Coturnix japonica: one gene and its partners. The protein of the gene in region 2 interacts with the protein of the main gene of each other region in a pairwise test. Links are inferred from orthologs where the notes say so. Each region holds a gene or a part of one and is shown on either strand. Other genes may lie near its edges.

The links.
Region 1: the proteins of PSTPIP1 (region 2) and LSM4 interact in binary tests that used the Homo sapiens proteins (3 or more experiments, as listed by UniProt). The two-hybrid records come from large-scale screens. The link is inferred for Coturnix japonica from reciprocal best matches to the Homo sapiens genes PSTPIP1 and LSM4.
Region 3: the proteins of PSTPIP1 (region 2) and TULP3 interact in binary tests that used the Homo sapiens proteins (3 or more experiments, as listed by UniProt). The two-hybrid records come from large-scale screens. The link is inferred for Coturnix japonica from reciprocal best matches to the Homo sapiens genes PSTPIP1 and TULP3.
Region 4: the proteins of PSTPIP1 (region 2) and PTPN12 interact in binary tests that used the Homo sapiens proteins (3 or more experiments, as listed by UniProt). The link is inferred for Coturnix japonica from reciprocal best matches to the Homo sapiens genes PSTPIP1 and PTPN12.
Region 5: the proteins of PSTPIP1 (region 2) and UBE2W interact in binary tests that used the Homo sapiens proteins (3 or more experiments, as listed by UniProt). The two-hybrid records come from large-scale screens. The link is inferred for Coturnix japonica from reciprocal best matches to the Homo sapiens genes PSTPIP1 and UBE2W.

Annotation. Positions count from the first base shown.
Region 1 is NC_029543.1:3,005,870-3,010,211, reverse strand, and holds the start of LSM4 (U6 snRNA-associated Sm-like protein LSm4), read right to left. Parts: upstream 3,026-4,342; 5' UTR 2,911-3,025; coding exon 2,908-2,910; intron 2,784-2,907; coding exon 2,742-2,783; intron 2,614-2,741; coding exon 2,515-2,613; intron 367-2,514; coding exon 183-366; intron 1-182. Other genes in the region: PGPEP1 (pyroglutamyl-peptidase 1), read left to right, coding at 3,300-3,333. UniProt on the Homo sapiens protein: Plays a role in pre-mRNA splicing as component of the U4/U6-U5 tri-snRNP complex that is involved in spliceosome assembly, and as component of the precatalytic spliceosome (spliceosome B complex).
Region 2 is NC_029525.1:2,414,317-2,418,121, reverse strand, and holds part of PSTPIP1 (proline-serine-threonine phosphatase-interacting protein 1), read left to right. Parts: intron 1-168; coding exon 169-250; intron 251-1,881; coding exon 1,882-1,952; intron 1,953-3,805. UniProt on the Homo sapiens protein: Involved in regulation of the actin cytoskeleton. May regulate WAS actin-bundling activity. Bridges the interaction between ABL1 and PTPN18 leading to ABL1 dephosphorylation.
Region 3 is NC_029516.1:68,389,378-68,393,830, reverse strand, and holds the start of TULP3 (tubby-related protein 3), read left to right. Parts: upstream 1-1,496; 5' UTR 1,497-1,714; coding exon 1,715-1,755; intron 1,756-4,300; coding exon 4,301-4,352; intron 4,353-4,453. Other genes in the region: RHNO1 (RAD9, HUS1, RAD1-interacting nuclear orphan protein 1), read left to right, coding at 620-1,261. UniProt on the Homo sapiens protein: Negative regulator of the Shh signaling transduction pathway: recruited to primary cilia via association with the IFT complex A (IFT-A) and is required for recruitment of G protein-coupled receptor GPR161 to cilia, a promoter of PKA-dependent basal repression machinery in Shh signaling.
Region 4 is NC_029516.1:11,319,772-11,323,576, reverse strand, and holds part of PTPN12 (tyrosine-protein phosphatase non-receptor type 12), read left to right. Parts: intron 1-2,394; coding exon 2,395-3,359; intron 3,360-3,805. UniProt on the Homo sapiens protein: Dephosphorylates a range of proteins, and thereby regulates cellular signaling cascades. Dephosphorylates cellular tyrosine kinases, such as ERBB2 and PTK2B/PYK2, and thereby regulates signaling via ERBB2 and PTK2B/PYK2.
Region 5 is NC_029517.1:106,928,076-106,931,880, forward strand, and holds part of UBE2W (ubiquitin-conjugating enzyme E2 W), read right to left. Parts: intron 3,427-3,805; coding exon 3,324-3,426; intron 1,000-3,323; coding exon 844-999; intron 1-843. UniProt on the Homo sapiens protein: Accepts ubiquitin from the E1 complex and catalyzes its covalent attachment to other proteins.

The DNA of each region.
Region 1 (4,342 bases), on a different chromosome or scaffold from region 2:
TAGAAGCCAGACAACACTCACTCAACTCGATCTTGCACAGGAGCAGCTCCAGCTTCTCATAGACCAACAGCTCTGGGTTCAAAACTGAGAAGCATCATCCCTTCCTTGCACAAGAGGTGGAATTTAAAGGCAGGAATCCCAGTCACCCCCTCTCTGAACTGAAAAGCAAAAAGGATCGTTACCTCGTCCAGCACCTCCAACACCGCGGCCTTTCTGCTGCTTCTGCTGTTGCATCCCACCACGGCCTCTGCCTTTGGAGACCACCTCTTCTTTCACCATGTCAATTATCTCATCGGGGATCCGAAGGTATTTAATTGTGCTGCCACGGATGTAACACTCTGGCATCCTCCAGAACTTGTCACCATCCTATTGGGAAGCAACGTGTTAAGCTGAGAACAAAACCACGTGCACTTAAGTTGCTTTTTGACACTTGAATATCTCCATCACTTCTGAAGCGTGCGACAGATGTAATAGTCTATTCTGAATGTACAACCCATAATTAGCTGTGAAATTCCTGTTTTCCCTTTAAAACACGCAGCCCTACAACCTGCTGGGGAGTCAGGGGGCGTTCAGCCATGAGCCACTGCAGTTTCAGCCCGTTCACAACCGCCTTTGACTCTCACAGAAAGTGAAGGAAGAAGAGGAAACAGCACCTTCCCTTTGCTTCTCATACAAGAAGAGAATCGAAAGTGGGACTGGAGAGGGAAATGTGGTAAGTTCAACACAGCTGCTGCAACACGGGGCAGTTCCAGCACATAAAGCCCCAACCAGAGTCACCTACAAACTGAACCCCTTTGTGGTGTGGATTGAGCAGCGAGGAGCATCCAGCTGGGTGTGGGGTGAGCCCAGCAGCGCACAGGAACCGCGGCTGTGGAAAATAAGAGCTTACAGATCACGTTCAAAGAAACCTTCGGGTGCCAAGTTACGGAGCAGCTGCCTCTGTGTTTTGTTTAAGGCAGTTTCAGGGCTTTGCTAGGACACAGCCCATCAGGGCTTCAGCTCCTGTGGCTGTGGGAATAGGAACTGCATGTGAAAGTTGAACAACAACTGATGTAAGCGGGAGGAGGGATGGAACCTCGTGCGCACGGCCGTGCTCTGCTGCAGGGCTTGGCTGAACACAGGCTCCTCACAACTATCACACATGGACAGAGTGTCCACAACATCCCAGAGGAGTGGGTGAAACCAGAATGCCTCGTTTCACCTCTCCAGAATCAAGTTGTACCCCCCTCCTCCTCTGCTCCGGTGTTATTTGGGGCAATGCAGCATGCACAGGCAAGTTCCGTGTGTGTGAGACAAGCAGCCTTCTTCAAACAGGCACCCAGCAAACCCCACCCTGCCTGGATCCGCCCGGCTGCACTTTGGCTCTCTATGCAGGAAGGGATGGAGCCAGGTCCCCGGCTTCCTCGTTCCAGCTCCCCATGTAAACAGCTGCCGCAGCTCCATGCCATCTAGTGGCTGATCCCCACCGTGCCACCAGGAAGGCTTCCATATATACCCCCCCAGTAGCACCCAGGGGGTATTTAGGGGTGGGGAGTGAACTGCAGACCACTCGGTGGGTATAAATGCTGAAGTGCTCTGCCCACAGCAACACAAAGCTGCTTAATGAGGAAGCAGTATTAAAGGCCGGCATCCCTTGTTCTGCAAGCACTAGTAAGGCTTTGCCACTTGCCACCCCTTCCCATTGAACTTATCTGTTTATCTGCCCCAACAATCTGTGGATCCAGATTTTTAGGGCTCACTGCTCTGCTGTTATGATCCTTCTTAAACCTTTGCTTTGTTTAAGTACACACATCACATCTCCGTGCCCCAGCACTATTGGCCAATACCTTCCTGCTGTGGGTCCAACAGGCACAGAAACCCTTCCTGAAGAAGAAGGGTTTCCCTGACAGCCTCCCCCACAGACCCGTGATGTTCCCAGGCACAGAGAGCAGCAGCAGCAGCAGGAACGTGGCCAGGCACAGGCTGCCAGGGACAAGACCAGACACTTGAGGCTGAGGTCAGAGCTCAAAGCACAGATCCCAATCTCTTCTCGGAGCACTTTGGCCATGGGCAAAAGTAGCAGACGAGGCACAACCCGGTTAAACAAGAGGCCCTAATAACTTTTGATGTGGAGTTACAGGGCGTGAGGCAGGTGATGATGAAAGGCAGCACTGTGCTCGATGGGGCTGCATGGAGCGGGCAATGGGACAGGACCTGTCACCAGCCCTTCACACTGAGCACCTTCACCCTGCTGTCAATGGGCTCATTCGTTTCTTACACCTCATAACTGCGTTACATTCACATTCAAAGCAAAAGCAACACACACAGAAGGGTGAGGATCTCTGCGAGTCCCACTCAGCTGCAGGGCTGGGGGCTGATAGCAATGTGGGGTCTATGGGCGCAATGGGGGGTCTATGGGCGCAATGGGGGGGGTCTATGGGCGCAATGGGGACAACTCATTCCTGATCTGCTTTGATGCTGTTCAAAGTAGGGGGTCTATGGGCGCAATGGGGGTCCTGGCATTGAGCTGGTTACCCGTGAGGTGCAGATGACCTCCCGCAGGTTGATGTTCATCCAGTTGTCGCAGCTCACCAGGTGCCCGTTGTACGTCTCGCCGTTCTTCAGCTCCACCAGCTGGAAGAAGCAAAGGGGGGGGGTCAGCATGAAGGAACCGGGACCGACGGGGCGGCACGGGGACCCAACGGGACCCGACGGGGCGGCACCGGGCCCATAGGCCGCAGCGGGAGTGGGCCGGGACTCACCATAGGGTGGTTCTGCGCCGTCTTCAGCAACGACAGGGGCAGCTGCGGGGGAAAGAGAGAAAGGCCTCAACAACCGGGAACCGGGACCGCCTCGGATCCCCATGTAGGGGCTCAGGGAGTACCGGGACAACCGAACCGGCCCGGCCCGGCCCATTCCCGCACTCACCATCGTGCCGGAACCGCGGAGCCGCCGCCGCGCCGGGCGCTGCCGCTCAAACCACCCCCGGCCCCACACGGGACCAATCAGAGCTCGGCGCGGTCCTCGCGGAGCCAATCAGCGTGCAGGACCCGCCTCGGCCGTAAAGCATCGCCGAGGTTGGCGGTGCACAGCGTCACGACAGTGCCGTAAATTGAAACGCCGAGCGGGAAGCGGCACGGAGCGGCGCTCAGGAGGCGCTCTAGGCAGCGAGGCGGCGCGCACTCTATGGTCGCGCGGGGCCGCTCTGGTCCTCGGGGCGGCGCGTATTCTATGGCCGCGCGGGGCCGCTCTGGGCGTCGGGGCGGAGCGCGCTCTATGACCGTGCGGGGCCGGTCGCTCAGTGCGGTGCGGGAGCGGAGATGGAGAAACCGCGGAGGGCGGTGGTGGTAACGGGTACGGGCGGATGGAACGAGACCGGGGGGTGGGGAGGGGACGGCAGGGTGGGCTCTGATTCCATTATCTCAACGGGGGGGATGCGGGATTGGGAGGGGGCGGTGAGGGGCACATGGGGGTGTCGGGGTCCTGGTGGGGGTGTACGGGGATTGGGAGGGGCGCGACGGGGCTGCGGCGTGTCACAGACCCCTCCGGTTATACCCCCCCCCCCCGGTCCCCGCTGTATTTGTCCCATCTCTTGCCCCGGGGGGGTTGGGGGGTGGTCTCTGCTTCAAACATTCAGAGCTGATGGTGCTGGATCTGCCCCTGATGGTCGCACTGAGACCCCATTGCAACCCCATGAAGGTCTGCAGGGTGGGCTCAGTGCTGTGTGCCCGGCAGGACCCTGTGCTGGGTGTGGGGTGGCTGAGGCTGGGTTTGGTGCTACCCATAAAGTTGCTCATCTGATATGCAAGGAATCGATCTGGGGGTCGGTGTGGAGGATGAGTGAGGGGGCAGCTCAGTTGGGTTCAGAACGAGAGGTTTTGGTTACATTGGGGTACCTGGAAAGCTGGTGTGATTCATATTGAAACCATCCCAATGAAACACCTGTTTGGTGCTCTCACATCTATAGCTTATATATGGAGAAACAACAAGTGCATTAGGATCCTGTGGGAGCCTTCAGGAGGGTTATTATGGGGAGATATTGATGCTGGTTCCGCTTGGAGGCTCAGGTTGATACTGAGATCCCATTGAGCTGTACAAAGCCCTGTTGCTGTTGTGTGCGGTGTAACCTCAGCCCTCCCCTTCTGCTGGCAGCACATGGGAGGTTTCCATTAGTGTGTCATGTAATATTTGTGGTCCTGACTTAGATGCAGTGCGTGCCTTCTGATTGCATTAGGCTCACAGGGTAGCTCTGCCATCTGAAATTAAAGCATATCGATCCCACGCCCAGATAAATGCCCAACCTTTGTGTGCTCGCTCAGGGAAAGATGTGATGGGTTACTAGTTAACTCCGAGTTACTCATTA
Region 2 (3,805 bases):
CAAGGCATCTGCACACAAGCACTTGAAAGGCTTTTGTCAAGCACCTACATCCCCCTGAGATGCCCCAAACATGTTACTATTCTGCTATTCTGTTGGCTGCACTCTGATTGAGAGAAATAGGTTTTGCCTGATTGAACATCTCCTTTTTCTTTTGTTGCCCTACTGCAGGTGCAATAGGATATGAGAACTACTACGACAGAGAACCAAACAGAAGCAACAGCCCAACCCAGACCTGTGGGATGATGAAGAGGTAAGTGATGAATTTTCATTCCCAGACGTACTACTTCTCAGTGTATGATGATGGCACAGGGGTTGGAACTAGATGATCTTTAAGATCCCTTTCAACCTAAGCCATTCTGTGAGTCTATGTTTCTGTGACAGTAAACGGGACCTGGATAGTTACTTCTTCTTTCACTGTAGCAAGAGACAGCTGCATAGAAATAAAACTAACTCGAGAGAAGAAGTAAACCCATTAAAGCTGGAGTCAGAGCCATTTTGCCTTGGCCTAGTGGGAAGAGAGACAAGAGGACAAGTTCATAAAACAGTCTGCTGGCAATAGAGAGCATTCACACTTATTTCCTCTTTCCTAGTGAGTCATGGCACACAGCATCAAAAGCACTCTGTGCAAGGGAGGGCAAAGGTGAGCCTTGCTGGGAGCCAGGGCTGGGGAGAGCTGTCCTTTTCAGCAATGCCTCCTGGCTTAGTGCATTGCGATGCCCAGCTGGGAACAACAAAGAGCTGCTGTCTCTTTCTAGACCAAAAGAAAAAATACTTAGTGGAATAACTGTGATGATAAGGGAGGTGCTTTTCTTTTTCTAATCCATTTAAGCTGGTAAATATAGTAATATGAATGCAGTTATATCAGCGGAACAGCACGGTAGAGCTATTGGTTTAAATATTTTATACTAAAATGGCTAATTCATGGCAGAAATGGCATCATATTTAAAAGCAGGAGAGCTTTGTAGTTTGGCAAGTCTTATTTTATGGCAAAGACAAAGAGGGGGCTGAGATCTCCCATTTAAAACGTGGGCCAGGCTTGTTAGCGAGCTGATAAGGTTTATACACAATATTTGGTTCCCTGTTGGAAACAAGATTTTATATAATAATGAATCCTAACATTGCAGCCTCTGCAATTACAGAAGACAATTGTATGGCCATTTAGAATACAGCTGTGCCCAGCAGGAGCAAACAGCCTTCAGAGGCTCAGCCTCAGTTTTTGAGAACTCATTGAGCTTAGAAATCCATTTTCCTGAATCACTGACCATTCACCAGCTGAAAAATCAAACCCTCGATGTACATCTTAAGCACTCCATACTACTGCTACCTACACTTATATCCTAAACCATCTTCTCGCTTGGCCTGGTCACCAGTTCCCAGCCAGAATCCAGCTGTGATATAGAAAACAACTAGGTGAGATTAAAAAATAAATAAATAAAGGAAACAAAAGTATTTCACTTAAATTCACTATTTCTAGAAAGGTATGTTAGAAAGGCTTTGTATTTTGAATTGCATTGGTTTTCCCTAAAGGAATTGTATTCTTTTGTAAACAACTGAGAATTCTCATCGTATCGATAGAATGAGATGATTGGAATTCTGTTTCATGAGTCTCTGGATCCACAACACAATATTGTGTGATGCATTTAGTGCATCAATTTAGCGATGACCAGCAGTTCATCTGGTTCGGTTATTTTCTAAGGTTTTTTTTTTCTTAGATTTTACTTTAACTGAAGGTAAGAGTATCTATAGATAAAGGAAAGCAGATGACCATGGGAAGGGATGACATCCATGTAAGGTCAAGGGGGAAGGTTAAGTCTGACAGCTGAGTCTTGTAAGAAATGCCCTGCTCACTCATTTTGTCATTGACTTCTCTTGGTTCTGCAGATTCTCTGGACTGTTGCATGGAAGCAGCAAAAACAACACTGAAAGCGTCATTCCTTCAGCCCCTCCTTTAGGTATGCCTCACCAGGGAGTAAATTCACCAGATGTGTTTAACATCACTTGCTAAGTCCAGCTTTAACACAGAGCAGAACTACAGCACACGTTCACATGATGTCAGGCAAGAGAACGAGCAGATCGAAAACAAATTCAGCTCAGATTTCCCAGTCTGAAGTACTAAATAATCTATATAACCTTAGGGCCATAAGAACCTCAAGACCTCTATCTGGGTAAGGGCACACTGTGCTTTCAGACCAATGCAGTTTTAGTAAAGATAATAGTATTCTCCTTACGTTGGATATGCTACCTCTAAAAAGCACAAGGGAATCCCTGAAGTCTTTAACACACCTGCCTCATGCCTTATGAATACAAATATTCATCTCATTTCACACTTGGACTGCATTATCACAACCCGTGCACTCAGGCATTTATCAGTAGGGCATTTAAAACAGTATTTTGATCATGCAGAAAGCAGCAGCTTACAGCATTTTTATTGATTTAAACCCGAAACATTTGAACTGAGATTGCTGCCTACAGGAAATCAAAAAGTTCCTTTAAAACAGCTTTTAAACATACTCAGGTCAATTTCCTTTGCAAGGCCTGCCTTGCCTGCTTGGATGCCCAGTAATGAGGCTGCAGCTACCCCACTTGCTGCATTTAGTGCTCAGGAAGCACAGTCTCTCTGGAGCTATCAGGCACCAGCTGGACCTGCCAGGCCCCAGCTGCCTAACTCAGCATGCAGCAGCATCCACATACACACAGCCTGAAGGCATTTGGTCTCTTGCAGAGCTGTGTAACGACTACATACAGGAAAAACTTACCAGAAATAGACAACAATATTACATCAAATGCTGGATTTAACAGCAGATCTCGACTTTATCCAAGTAAACAGCATCTGTGGTGGTACCTTATGCTCAAGCCTGGTATAATAATCTCCCTCTAACTGCAGAAAAAGCCCTGCTGGCTGTCCATCTCTCATTCAGACATAGTGTGGAGCCCAAGTAGACCTTGCTGCTCATTTAGCACACCACAGTCATCACATTTTGGAAACCACTTAAGGCAGTGTTTTCACCTGGGCTGACATACCAGGTTGTGAGCATGTAATTAGAGCCTGCTCTCCCCTTCATCTTTAGCCAGCCCTGAAGGGTTGGACTGCTCACACCACGGCTGCCCTTCTCTTCCCCACACAGCCCCACTGAAAGCAAAGATGTGCTTGGGAAGTACACGAGAGCAGCTCTAGCCTGGACTACTGTGTCAGCACAACAGCATCCACAGCAGCAAGGCTTTGGTACTTCCATTTTACCACCGTGGTTACGCCATGAGCACTAGAACAGCACAAGAGACCCAGGTGGTTCTTTTCAATAGGGCTAGCTCTGTCTCTTCCTGAATCACAGTTTTCCTACATAATGACAAGCCGGTTTAAAATATCCTCCAGCAAAGTCCCATCTGTGACAAACAGCTAAATGGAAACTATGTGAACTAATGGAAAATGTCTGATGACCCACCACACCAGCACGGTATTTTCCACTTTTCTTAAAGGAAAAACCTCTGCATGAATCACTGAACTGCCAGAATCTCACATCTCCAGTAGCAAACAGTTTACACCAGTTTACTCACAGTACTTCCTTCTCTGCACTTCTGTGGTCGTGCTTTAGCAGGGTAAACATCTTTCCCAACCTGGATGAAGCTAATGCTCCTGACTTCCCAGAAAGCTCAATGGGGGCACTGTCCCCCAATCAATGGGACACAGTTTTTGTGCAAGAATTTACCTACAGTTCACAGCAGCTTTTCTATACACGTACACCTCCAGACAGAGAGAGAACAGAGACCCTTGTATTTGTGAACTCTTGCGTAAGATCCCATGCATTTA
Region 3 (4,453 bases), on a different chromosome or scaffold from region 2:
AGTTTTTGAGGGAATGTGTAGAAACCTGAGAAGGCTAAAAGGGGTTTGTGGTTGTCATAATGATATCCAGGTTGGGATGCTCTAGGACTGTTTTGACTGACTTTTGAAACCCCAGAAGATAAAGACTACTGTAAAAAGAAGGATTTGCAAGTCTTGAGTAAGTGCCCAAAGTCTTTCAATGAAGTATAGGTTATTGAGCTTTGACAGAAAGCTGATTTTAGTAGAATTGACTTTGTGGTCATCTGTTAATCTTTGTGTTGTAGAGTAACTGTTTGAGGAAAGCATGTTTTGGGGGAATATTTTGAAGGCCTAATGAACATTATCTTCATATTACTCCCATTTGTAGCTATAGTTGCTCAGGAATATTTGGGCCATAATAGTTCACTTGTACTCCACTCGCTTATCAAAGTGATAGAACAGAACTTTGAAGTTCAGAGGTGTTTCCTGCTTACCAGCTTGGATAACAACTAGTTTGCTTTGCTGCAGGCCAGCTTACCCATTTAATCAACACACTGAGGAAAGATGGGATGGGTGGGGGAGTAGAATAAGGTTGGTGTTCCTCTGGAGAAAAATACCATTTTGGTTTTTTGTTTTTTTTTTTTTCTTCTTATGTCTTCAGGTGTGCCCCCAATTTGAAACAACTAAGTCATTGGTTCTGAGAGTGTGTCAGAAGAAGCAACGTGGTTCTCACAAGCCTCAGAATCAGGATGCCAGCTCTGGCTTGCTTCATGCAGAGAGAGCTTGTCGGAGATCTGTGGCCTGCAAATTTCCTCCTTTAAATTTTGAGAATTCAGAAGAACGTGCAGTCCGCTCCACGGATGTGCTGAGTCACGCAGGAAAGAACACACAGCATTCTCACGGCCAGTGCAAGAAAGGGATAGGATCAAAAGCCAACATCCAGGTGAATGGTACTGAGAACTATAGTGAAACACCATCATTACCTGTTTCTCAGCCTACAGAGCCAGAAGTCTTCAGTCCACTAGATATGGGGATGCCACAGTTGCCTTCTTTAAAGAACTGGACAGGTAGCAGCGTTCTGCCACAAAGCAGTAGTTGTGCTGAGTTGGTGTCCAGTGTCAACCACTGTGGGAGCGAGCAATTGGCAGCAACACTGGTTACGGATACTCCTGAGCGTGACTATGGAATAAAGGTGACCTGGAGACATCGGCCTCATCTCCTTAAGTACCTGAGAGACAGAGGGAAGCTGAGCACTGCTGACATACTGGTGAAGGCAGACCTTGAACTCAAGAAGCCAGGCTGACTTTTGGTTTGGCAAAACAGCCATTTCACACACAATATAAATATGGTCTAATACAAACACAGAAAGTCCTTGAAAAGAGCAAAGAGGGGTAATAAACGAAGCCATACATTGTGCTGGGGCATCTTAGTTCTATTGGGAAGTGGTAGCGACGCGTAGGATGCACTTTATTCTCAGGGGGGGAGTGGTGTGATTTTACTTTTGACTGAGCTTCCTCGCAGGGGCTGTGGGAGGGCGGTAAGTGCAATAAGCCTCCACATCCACCCGCCATGATAACTGTGGAGGCGGGGCTCGGCGCTGACCTGGCTGCCTCTATGCGCATGTTCGGCTCGAGTTCTCAGCTGAGGGGAGCAGCGGCCCGCTTGGGCCAATGGCGCAGGGCCGGAGTTACGAGTTCCGTCTCCAAGGGTAGCGGTGAGATCGAAACCAGGTCCCGTAGTAAAGGCGGGGCTGAAGATGGAGGGTGCCAGGAGCCGATGCGCGATCGGTGGGGGCAGGTGAGTGGGGCCCAGCGGGGCAGGGAGGTTGCGAAGCGATTTGCGGCGAGTCCCTCCTCAGGCTGACCCTGAGCCTCGGTTTCCCTACCACGGTTCCAGACTTTGATTGAAGCAGCGTCTTCGGGAGCGAAACGACTGTGGAGGCTTTTTTTGTGTGTTACCTCGTGCTTCTAATCATAATTAAGCATTTGGGATGTGAAAACGGTAGCGAGCTCTTAGGCCACTGCATGTGGGGGGTGGGGGGAACGCAACTGATGGGAACTTAACTGACGTAATGGGAAAAGCACGTTAAGTTTGGGAGAGAGATTTTGGGAAGAGATTCTGCCCGTGGGTTTGAATAGCTGAAACCACAAATGACTGAGAATTCAGTGTGATGTACAGTGAAGAGAGATTTTGGTGATTAATGTGATGAATGATTTTGGAAATGCAGGAAAAGAACTGTTTTCTATCCAAGCATCAGAGGGTACGTGATGGGAATGCCAGTAAAGAGAGAAACAAAGAATTGTGTAACGTTTCTTGGTTGCAGTGATGAATGTAAGAATACTAAAATGCACAAACCTGAATAAATGTACGTAATTCCTAAGTAGATTTTTAAGACCATTAAGTAGATTCTTAAGACCATTTGTAGAGTCTTAAGAAAGCTATATGTGAGAATCAGATGGTCAGTATATATGTATTTTTTCTTTCTGAAATGAAATTTTCTTGCTATTCAGCGATATGTAATAGATATTGAGACATAAATAATTTTATTTGATGGACAGGCAGGTGAGATTTTGGGTTAAGGCCATTTCTAAGTAGGCTCTAATACTGTGGTGTTGTATTAACTTCTTCTCTGCCAATGTTATCTTTCATTTACGATGGCTGTAATTAAAGTAGCTTGAGATCATATTGAAGTCTGACATTCATCTAGATTTTCTTTAAGCACTAAGGTGCATCATTATGTTTATAGTGTTATTTCATTACTTTGATAAATGCTACGTGTTTCCTTTTCATTTGGGACAGTCTGACATTAAAAGTGTTGGATAGTGGTGTATGATGGGCAGCAGAGTTCAATTGGTTTGTGGTATTGGGTCATAGTCAGTTATCCCCACGGTTCCCTTCCACTCCTGGATATTGTATTGTTTGATGTCTTTATAGTATGAGAAAGCTCTCTGTTGGTAGACTTGGACTGGGATTGCTTCAGTCTCTCAATGGGACACAGTTGGACAGTCTACACAGTTATATTGTTGATTGTGTTGTAATTGGGTCATGGTATGAATGCTCCTGTGAATGCATTTGCTGACATGCCTAGAAGTGTTTTCTTAGTCCACTGCAAGAACTTTTATCCATACTTCTGTTGTTTAAAACATAAAATCGATGGGATGTCATCCAAAAGCTTGTGTCTCATCGTTCATACTCCCCATTCCCATTAAATATTCTTATGTGAAATTCCAGGCAAAAATAGAACAAGAATCTGGATTTACTAACTGCATATCCTAGTTCAGGATGGAAATCACATTTTGCTGTTTCATTCTTATCAATAGCTTCCCATTCAAACTTCTAAAAAACAAAACAAAAAAAGCTGGATATAGACTGAAACTGAAACTCCACACTGAGCTCTAGAATGTTAATTCATATATATTTTTTCATTTATTTCCTTCATTTTTAGTTAGACATACTATAAAAACAAGTGCAGTTCGGCATGAAGAGCGATAAACTTCATAGAAGTTTTGCTGTCTACCTGAGTTAGTGATTTTGTGCCATTTAACTGGTTTAATTTCTGTTTATCTTGTGGTCTCCAGAACCCAAACAGGCACAATCACAGAGACAGCAAAGGTTTGAAGGAGCCTCTGGACATCATCTCGTCCAACCCTGCTGCTCCATAGGGTCAGCTGGAACAGGTTGCATAGGGGGATGTCTGCTCAGTTGTTGAGTATCTCTACAAAAGGTTATTCCACAGCCTTGATATGCAGTTTGTTCCAATGTTGACTGACCCACAATAAAAAAGCATTTTCTTGTGTTTTTTTTATGTTTTAAACTGTGCCCGCTGTCTCTCTTTCTGACAGTAGGCACTAGTGGTTCCATCTTTATGCCTTGTCATGGGGTGTTTATATACCTTGTTCAGCCTGCAGCAGAGATGGTTCCATGAAGATCTTACCACTCTCAGCTCTCTGAACTCATATGAGAGATGCTCCAGTCGCTCAGTAATCTCTGTGACCCTTTGCTGGACTTGCATATTTTCCTGGGGGCCCAATAGTGGCCACAGCATTGGCTAATAATAATAATACATCATAATTTGTAGCAAAAGCCTTTGAGTAATGAAAGCTTTTTGCTTACAAAATGTTTTCAGAGAATTTTAGTTCAGTGACTGAATCACCGGTCCTGTTTGTGACAGAAAATGAAGTATGTTTCTTTCATAATGCCTTATTACTTGGTCTTCCCATGGGCTAGAAATAGTGTTTTACAGTTGGAGCCTTGACAACTATGTTGCAGTCTGTGGATGTCGTGTTTTTATATAATGCAAACTAATTTCTGGTAATAATTTTTTGTCTCTTGCCTTTTCCAGCATCTTTGAGGATGAAGGCATGAAACTACGACAGCTGAAACTAGAGAATCAGGTCAGTGGTTGTGCATTAACTGGCAAAAATAAATGAAGGAAAACAAACATTAGCCATCTTATTTTAGAAAGGAAAGTTAAAGTGCTTGTTTTCCCTTTCTT
Region 4 (3,805 bases), on a different chromosome or scaffold from region 2:
CCAATAACCTTTCTGAAATTGCCATTAAGATTTCTGAATCATTCTTCCTTCTTGTTTTGCTGGCAGACAAAGATAGACTGATGTATGTGAGCAGTGTGAGAAGAGACCTCACCATAAATTACTGGGTAATACAGTGCTGAAAGGACAGTGAACTTAACATTTACCTTGTGATTTCCATATAAGCCTTTTACCTATCTTTTTAATGAATGCTTTCTTAATAACCTTGACTCAGGAGGTAAATATCCTTTGGCCCATGGAGCTGACACTAGCCTGCTTTCTCTCAAGTGAGAGGAGAAAGAAAAAGAAAGCTTTTTCGGTTGTCTGATTGCAACAAAAGGGAAGTGGAGACTTGACTAGAAAACCCGAATGCCTTGATCAACAAGACAAATGTAACTGTTACTAGCAGCCCTTTTCCTTGGTCTGGTCCATATTTGGGCAGTTCTGATGGTCTCACTCTGTACAAGTTATTGTCTGGTTAAAAAGAACTTCAAAAAGATGCATCTTATTTCTGATGGCTTTACATGAGTGCCTGACTGAGATGATCCAGTTGAGTTTTTTGAACTTCCCTGCAGTTGCTGAAATTTATTTATGTTAGACTTCAGACTTCAGTCAGAGCTCCCTCTATAGAAGATATCTAGATATATAGAAGATAACTATGTTTAGATATATAGAAGAGATCTAGTGGTAGAGCTGTATGTTTCCTGGCAATTGAGTGGCAGCCTGTATTTGGATACCACGCTTCACTTACAAAGTCCAAAGGCTTGGTTTCTTTGTTAACTGATGGCACATCATGAAATTTTTCTCTTCCACAAAATATGTCAAGTCTCATCCTTCATCGACGGGGGGTTGGACTCAATGATCTCTGGAGGTCCCTTCCAACCCCTATGATTTTGTGATTCTGTGATTGAGAGGGGCGGTTCCATGTAAATAGCCTGAATGCACAAAGTCTGGGCTGCGTAATCTGCCCATCATCTTGCTGGTCCTTACGGCGTGAGATTTGTTATTGGCACACCTTCCAGGTCTGCTAGATATGTTACACTCTTTCAGGTTTCCACAATTGCAGATGCTGTCATCTAGCAAGTTAGTAATGAGTTTTTGCCATTTTGAAAGCCTCTGCTTTTTGTCTTTATCATTGTTAATAAAAGTATATTTCACAGAAGTACTGTGATGGGTTTCTTTGAATGGGTTCAGTTCTTCAGGATATTGGATTACAGAAGGAAGCCTATGGTCTAGCAGTAACCTGACTTTCAAGAGAAAACAATGTTCTGTTATAACCTTGTCTGCAAGAGAATGTTCCATGTCTCCTGCTGCAGAGCTGGGTTTGGATGATTTATAGTTCCTCTGACACAGTTATCCCAAAAATCTTAAGGTGTATGGGGGTTTAGCTGGTTGTTGCTTTACTCAAGGTTACTCTGATACTGGGGCCACCTGAACCAGTCAGTAAAGACCCTGGGAACAACCTGTCTAGCACAGGGGCCTGGGGTCTTGTTTTGATTTTATGTACTTGAATCAAAGCTGTTGTTTATTTAAAATACTAAATTGCATTTCTGTTCTTTTCACTCATTTGCTTTGCACATCAGCGCATCACCTTATGTGATGAAAGGAAATATTTTTAAAGGCTCTGAAGTGAAAAAGATTCCTATTTGTGGACAGGATCTTAGTTGTGCAAAATAATTGATAGTTAATATTCTGTATTTAATGTGAAAGTCAATTGACCGTATGCCTGTAGAGCTTCTTTGAAGAAGCTGAAAACGAGCTGCAATAATTGCCAGTGATCTTGCTAATATGCACTGTAAATTGAATCCTACTCTACTGTGAATGTTTTATAGTGTTTATCTCATGTCAGTTAAATTTGATCTATGCTGTTAGCCTTAAATCTATGGTGAAACAAATACACAAATATAGTGAAATCCTTCTGGACATGTGAAGGAAAATAAGAAAGATGTTTGGTATCGGACGAGCTGTATTCTAGTTCATATAAGGCCTTTTAAAAGAATTTATTTCCTAGCTCTGTTGAAAATTGTATTCCAAATGCCGAATTCCTTTGAGCTACTTCTTAAATAAGAAGAAAGCCAAGAGTACTGGAATGCTGCCGCAAGAGGGCCTGGCAGACATCTGTGAAGGAATGCTGCTGGGAAAGGATGTGAGCAATCCTTAAAGCATCAGTGAGGATTAGCTTTGGCTTGAATTTATACCCCTGTGATACTGAAAAACTTTTAGTGTGTGTTGACATAATTCTTGCCGGTTCCATTAGTCATATTTTATAAATGTCATTTGTATGCAGTGGAAGTGCTTCTTGGAGTTCAGTATCGGTGTCAGAGTATTACTACAGCGGAGACAGGTTATCTAAAATGTTATCAAAATACAGAAAACTTACATCATTGTTTCTTGCAGTTGCCTTGTAGAAGGAGATGCTAAAGAAGAAATATTGCAACCTCCGGAGCCTCAGCCAGTACCGCCAATCTTAACACCATCTCCTCCATCAGCTTATCCAACAGTCACTACAGTGTGGCAGGACAATGACAGATACCATCCAAAGCCAGTTTTGCACATGGTTTCATCAGAGCATTCAACAGACCTCAATGAGAATTACAATAAAACCACGGAACTTTCAGGAAAGAGTGAACCCAGTGAACGTATGGAGAAAAGGCTGGAGCGCAACTTGAGCTTTGAAATCAGGAAAGTACCTCTTCAGGAAGGCCCACGAAGCTTTGATGGAAACTCCCTGTTGAACAGGGGACATGCAATTAAAGTTAAGCCCGCATCATCCTCTGTAATTGATAAGAACTTTAAGTCACAGGAGCAGACTTCAGGGGATTCATTTGTGGATGCTTCTAAAAACTCGTGTATGGAATGCAGTGTGCCACAGTCTAACACAGCCTTAATACCTTCACCAGAAAGTCCACAGGGCCAACAGGTTTCTGATACCCCACCAAGACCAGATCGTCTGCCTCTAACAGAAAAGGGACATGCCAGGTGGTCACTGCACGGGCCTGAAAATGCACTGCGTGCGTCAGTGCCTGAGGACGTGTCTTCAGACGTCTTATGTCGTGGGGTTAATGCTCTGTCTCTAGTATCGAACACCACAGTTGAACTTCCTTCCAGTGATAAAGGTGACCATACTGCTATTTCTTTTCGAGCACCCCTCTGTTTTACTAATCCTCTTCATTCAGATGATTCTGACACAGATGAAATGAACTTTGATGGAGCCATGAGCAGAAGTGCATCTAATATTTCAACCGCAAGTGCCACTGTTTCTGCTGCCACTACTACCGAAAACATTTCTGCCAGAAAAGTATTGCCAATGTCAATTGCTAGGCAAGACTTAGCTGCTGTAACGGGTTCTGAAGATGGCAAAGGTATGTGTTAGTGTGATCCTGGTTACATCTGTAGAATGGGGCTGGTTTCTTTGCTGCACAGACTTTTCAGTGTGAGTTTAAATGGCTTTGGGTAGCTGAAGTCTGGGTGATTTGGTGTATGCGATGTTCCTGGAGAAATTAATGCTTAATGGTTGACGTGCTGATCTTAAAAATGTAGATGCAATTTGTTCCACTGCAGCACTCTTGGAAGTTGCTCCTCTTTCTTCCTCTTCTGTATATGACCTGGAAGACACAATCCTGTTCATGTGAAATTAATCCAAGTTCTGCTTCAGTAATGATTTTAACCAATGAACTGAGCAGTGCTTTGAAAATCTTACTGCTTTTTGGAAATTGTTTGAGCATGGAAAGTTTGCACAAAATGAGGCAAGAATGTTCCTGTAGGGTGCCAGAATGCTTCATTAAAGATAAAAGGGTCCTAAAATGTC
Region 5 (3,805 bases), on a different chromosome or scaffold from region 2:
GACCAAATTAACTTCCGCACAAATTCAACTCCAAAGCTAATGGTCAAGAGTAAAGGAGCAACCTCTTTTACAATAGAAGTCCGCATCACTCATGTATGACCAAAAAGCAGTTTCAGATCATTTACTTTTCTGAAATAAAAGCGATCAAAGTCAATAAAAATAGTACAACTGCAAAATCACAGGTATCTGCAAAACAGACATTTCAACAGTTGTTTTGAGTGGCCTTTAGAGACAAATAATTTTAACAGAGCTGCAAGAATTTGGCTTTACATGTTAATATAACATAATGACTTTGTACAAGTAGAAGTATTCATTTATGCTTCTTCTCCAATAAAGTAGTACAAACAGGTTGCCATAAAAAAAGTTACAAAATATTTACTGTACTATTTAGTTTGCAGTTCTAGCTTAATACTTTCAAATAGCAGAAATACAGATCACAGTATAGTGCGGGTTGGAAGGGACCTTAAAAGATCATCGAGTCCAACCCCCGGGATTCGAGCCTCCTGTGTAGCAGAGCAGCACTTCTAACACTTGCACCACAGGGGGGGGATTCGAACCCAGGCCTCCGGTGTTGCAACGCAGCATTCCTACCACTGCGCCACTGTCACTGGCAAGTATGTAGCAGGTTTGCCTATTTTAGTATTTCAGAAACAAACAAACAAAAAAATCTTACTTTTCAAAGTAGAAAACCAATAATTTTCACTTATTCTACTCCAATGGTGCTGAAATCAGCAGGTGGAGACAACTCTGCCCATTACAAGAGGACTGGAACTAAATTATCTTTAAGATCCCTTCCAACCCAAGCCAGTGACTCTAGGAGAGAAAAAAAAAAAAACCTCATACCTTTTCTTTGCAGCTGGAAAGCATGCTAATAATGCTAAGACAAACAGATTGCACTGAGAGAGCTGGAGACCAGTCTTCTGTTAGAATGGACAAACAGATATGACCATTGCTATAAACATGTGGATGAACAGGAATATTGTCACCAGTAAACATGACCTAAAAAAAAAGAAAAAACCACCAAAATGTAATCTATTGTTCAACTTTTAAATAAAAACTATGCAGATTTTGTAAAAAAAAAAAAAATAAATAAAAAAGCAGGTTCTGACATTATCATTTACAAGAAATAACATAATATACCATATTACATTCATTCATTTTTTGAGCTGTTAGTCAAAATGTAAAATGAAATGACAAAAGCCTTGTGAAGGTGAAGTAGCACAAATGGCCAAATGCAGTTTTTTTCCTGTGAATAGTTACAAAACACAAAGAACATAAAAGCAACAGATGTAGCAAACTCTTAAATCTTGCATCTTCAGTTTTTTTAAAACATCCTATTTACATCCTACAGCTGCCTATTAGGAAGGTTAGATTCACAAATTAGTATTTCTTTGGACACAATAGGATATAAATTCTAGACAACTCAAGAAGAGTTAAACACACTAATCCTATTAACTAGAACATAAAGGACTCTTACAACCATACTGCATTATCACATTGGAAATATTTTAAATTGTTATTTAAGTGGAATTTTCTTTTAACAGAAGCAAACAACAGAGAACAGCACTGAGAATCTCAACTTCTCTCTATTAAAAAATAAAGGTTAGAAAATCAATTTTGACAATTACTGCTCTTACAATAAGTTTGACAAAAACGTAAGGTCAGCTCAGGACCAATGAAAAGGGAGTAAAAACCAAAATCCTCACAGCAGCATTATCCTCCTGAGCTCCTTATTCAACATAAGCACCGTAATCTTTTATAAAATGACATAATAAATCTCTACCACTCAAATCACAACATCTTCTTAAGATTTTCTCAGTTCAGGTACGTGTACACACACCTCACCTCATTACTGACTACCAGAAAGAAGTTTCAGCTTCATCACAAATGAGGTGAGAAAGCTCAAGCTACTTTCCAAATGGCATGCAATTTTTTTAATGACAGCAGAGAAAAGTGGATGCAGAATGATCTTTGTCTGGTATTTCTTACGCACTGAAAAGCTTACCTCTGTAACTTAGTATTTAATTTCTAACTAATGTTTCCATTATACAAGAAAACCAGGACTAGTTAAGCATGCATGCTTAACAGACAACACTCAAGGCAGAAAACAATCAAGTGATTGAACAGGAGAAACAAATTGTCAATTCAGAGGAAGTAGATTTATAGGAGAAAGAATTACAAATCAAGAGCTTTAAAGCAGAGAATTATTGTACAGCAGCATGATAAAAAATTTTAGCCACAACAAGAACTAAATATCCAGTGCTTTAATTCTTAACTGCCTTTTATGCTTGCAAGGAAATAAATACATTTGTCTTTGTGTACTGATTTAGATTGCTGTTTTACAATAATTTTTACACAGTCACATGCGCATGTTAGATAAAGAGTACAAACAGTACCCACTTGGAATCAAAACAAAGTGGGTCTTATGGATCACCTATGAGAAGCTTACTGCAAACCTGATAAAATGCAGATGGGAATGGAATGTGCCAGTTTGTTCCTTAAAACCTGAGACTGAAGAACAAGCATTTCTAGTTTTCACCTTAATCCTTACAGATACATATTTTTACAGTTTATGTGACTGCCGCAGCTCACTCCTTGCTGGAGCTTCAACAGCCATGAGAAAAGCAGAGATGACTCTTCAAACTTTGAGCTGAAACAGGGCCAGAACTAAAGCACTCTTGTTTCTTCTTTCTTTCATTTTCAGGAGAGCTGAAGGGATAACTTAACACCTGCTTTCCTCCTCCAAGCCTAACTTCTCTCAGGTAATGGACAGATGGATGTACAGAGCTCATTCCACACCCTAGTAGTAATGTTGACCCTCCAGTACTTAATGTTGCCATGAAAGCAGTAGCTCACACCTTAATTATAACCACTAGATTTGCAGACCTCTCAGAGATGCCAGGTGTTCATGAGAATTCCTACCACATGAACAGTATTTTGACAGCCATATTAACAATGGCAGTAGAGAAGGTAGAAGAGGTTAAGAAAGGACATAGAAGCTGAAGAGGAGACTAAAGAATTGTTTGTTGTTCACTCGTGTGCAGCAACAAAAGGAACCATCCTACTATTCTGTGTTGTTCTTTCATAGTGTATAAAGAAACCTCAAGAATACACCATTCTTTCATCTTCCATGAAATTAAGTGGACTGTAGTAGGCACTACATCTCACTTGTTTCAATTTATGTTAAACATATTGTGCAGGTGTGCTTTTTCTAGAGACAACTAAACCTCACCTTAGGATATACAAATGGCATTAGTATTCAGCATGTACCACACAATTATTACTTAGAGACAGAATTAAGTAGGAAGGAGGAAAGCAGATACCTGAGGCGAATCAAAAGGATATCGGCTACTGAACTTAAATAGAAGCTGAAATTTCTCCCCTTCATATAGCGTTCCTGGAGCACCTTCCATGTCTACAATCCACCTAAGAATGGAGAAACAAAATAGTATTATGGACTAAAAGATGATTATTTTACTTCTTGAGCACAGGACAAATAAAATCAACTGCCATGCAGCCAATCTTCCAAACTCTCCATTAGCAAAGCTATTACAGAAGTGAATAATGCATCAAGCCCACATTTGAAAGAAACAAGCTTGGTATTTCATATACAGACACTGCCATAGCACTGCAAATTATTATGACTTGAACTCATCACAGACTCATCAATTCCCTGTTATGTGAGACACAGCTGACATAGAAGACTTCCAAAGACTATTCTTATACAAAAATAGGCTTGGAATAAAATAGAGTAGCAGGCATTCTCCTTCCACGTTTCTATTTTTCTGGCAAGGAAATCATCAAT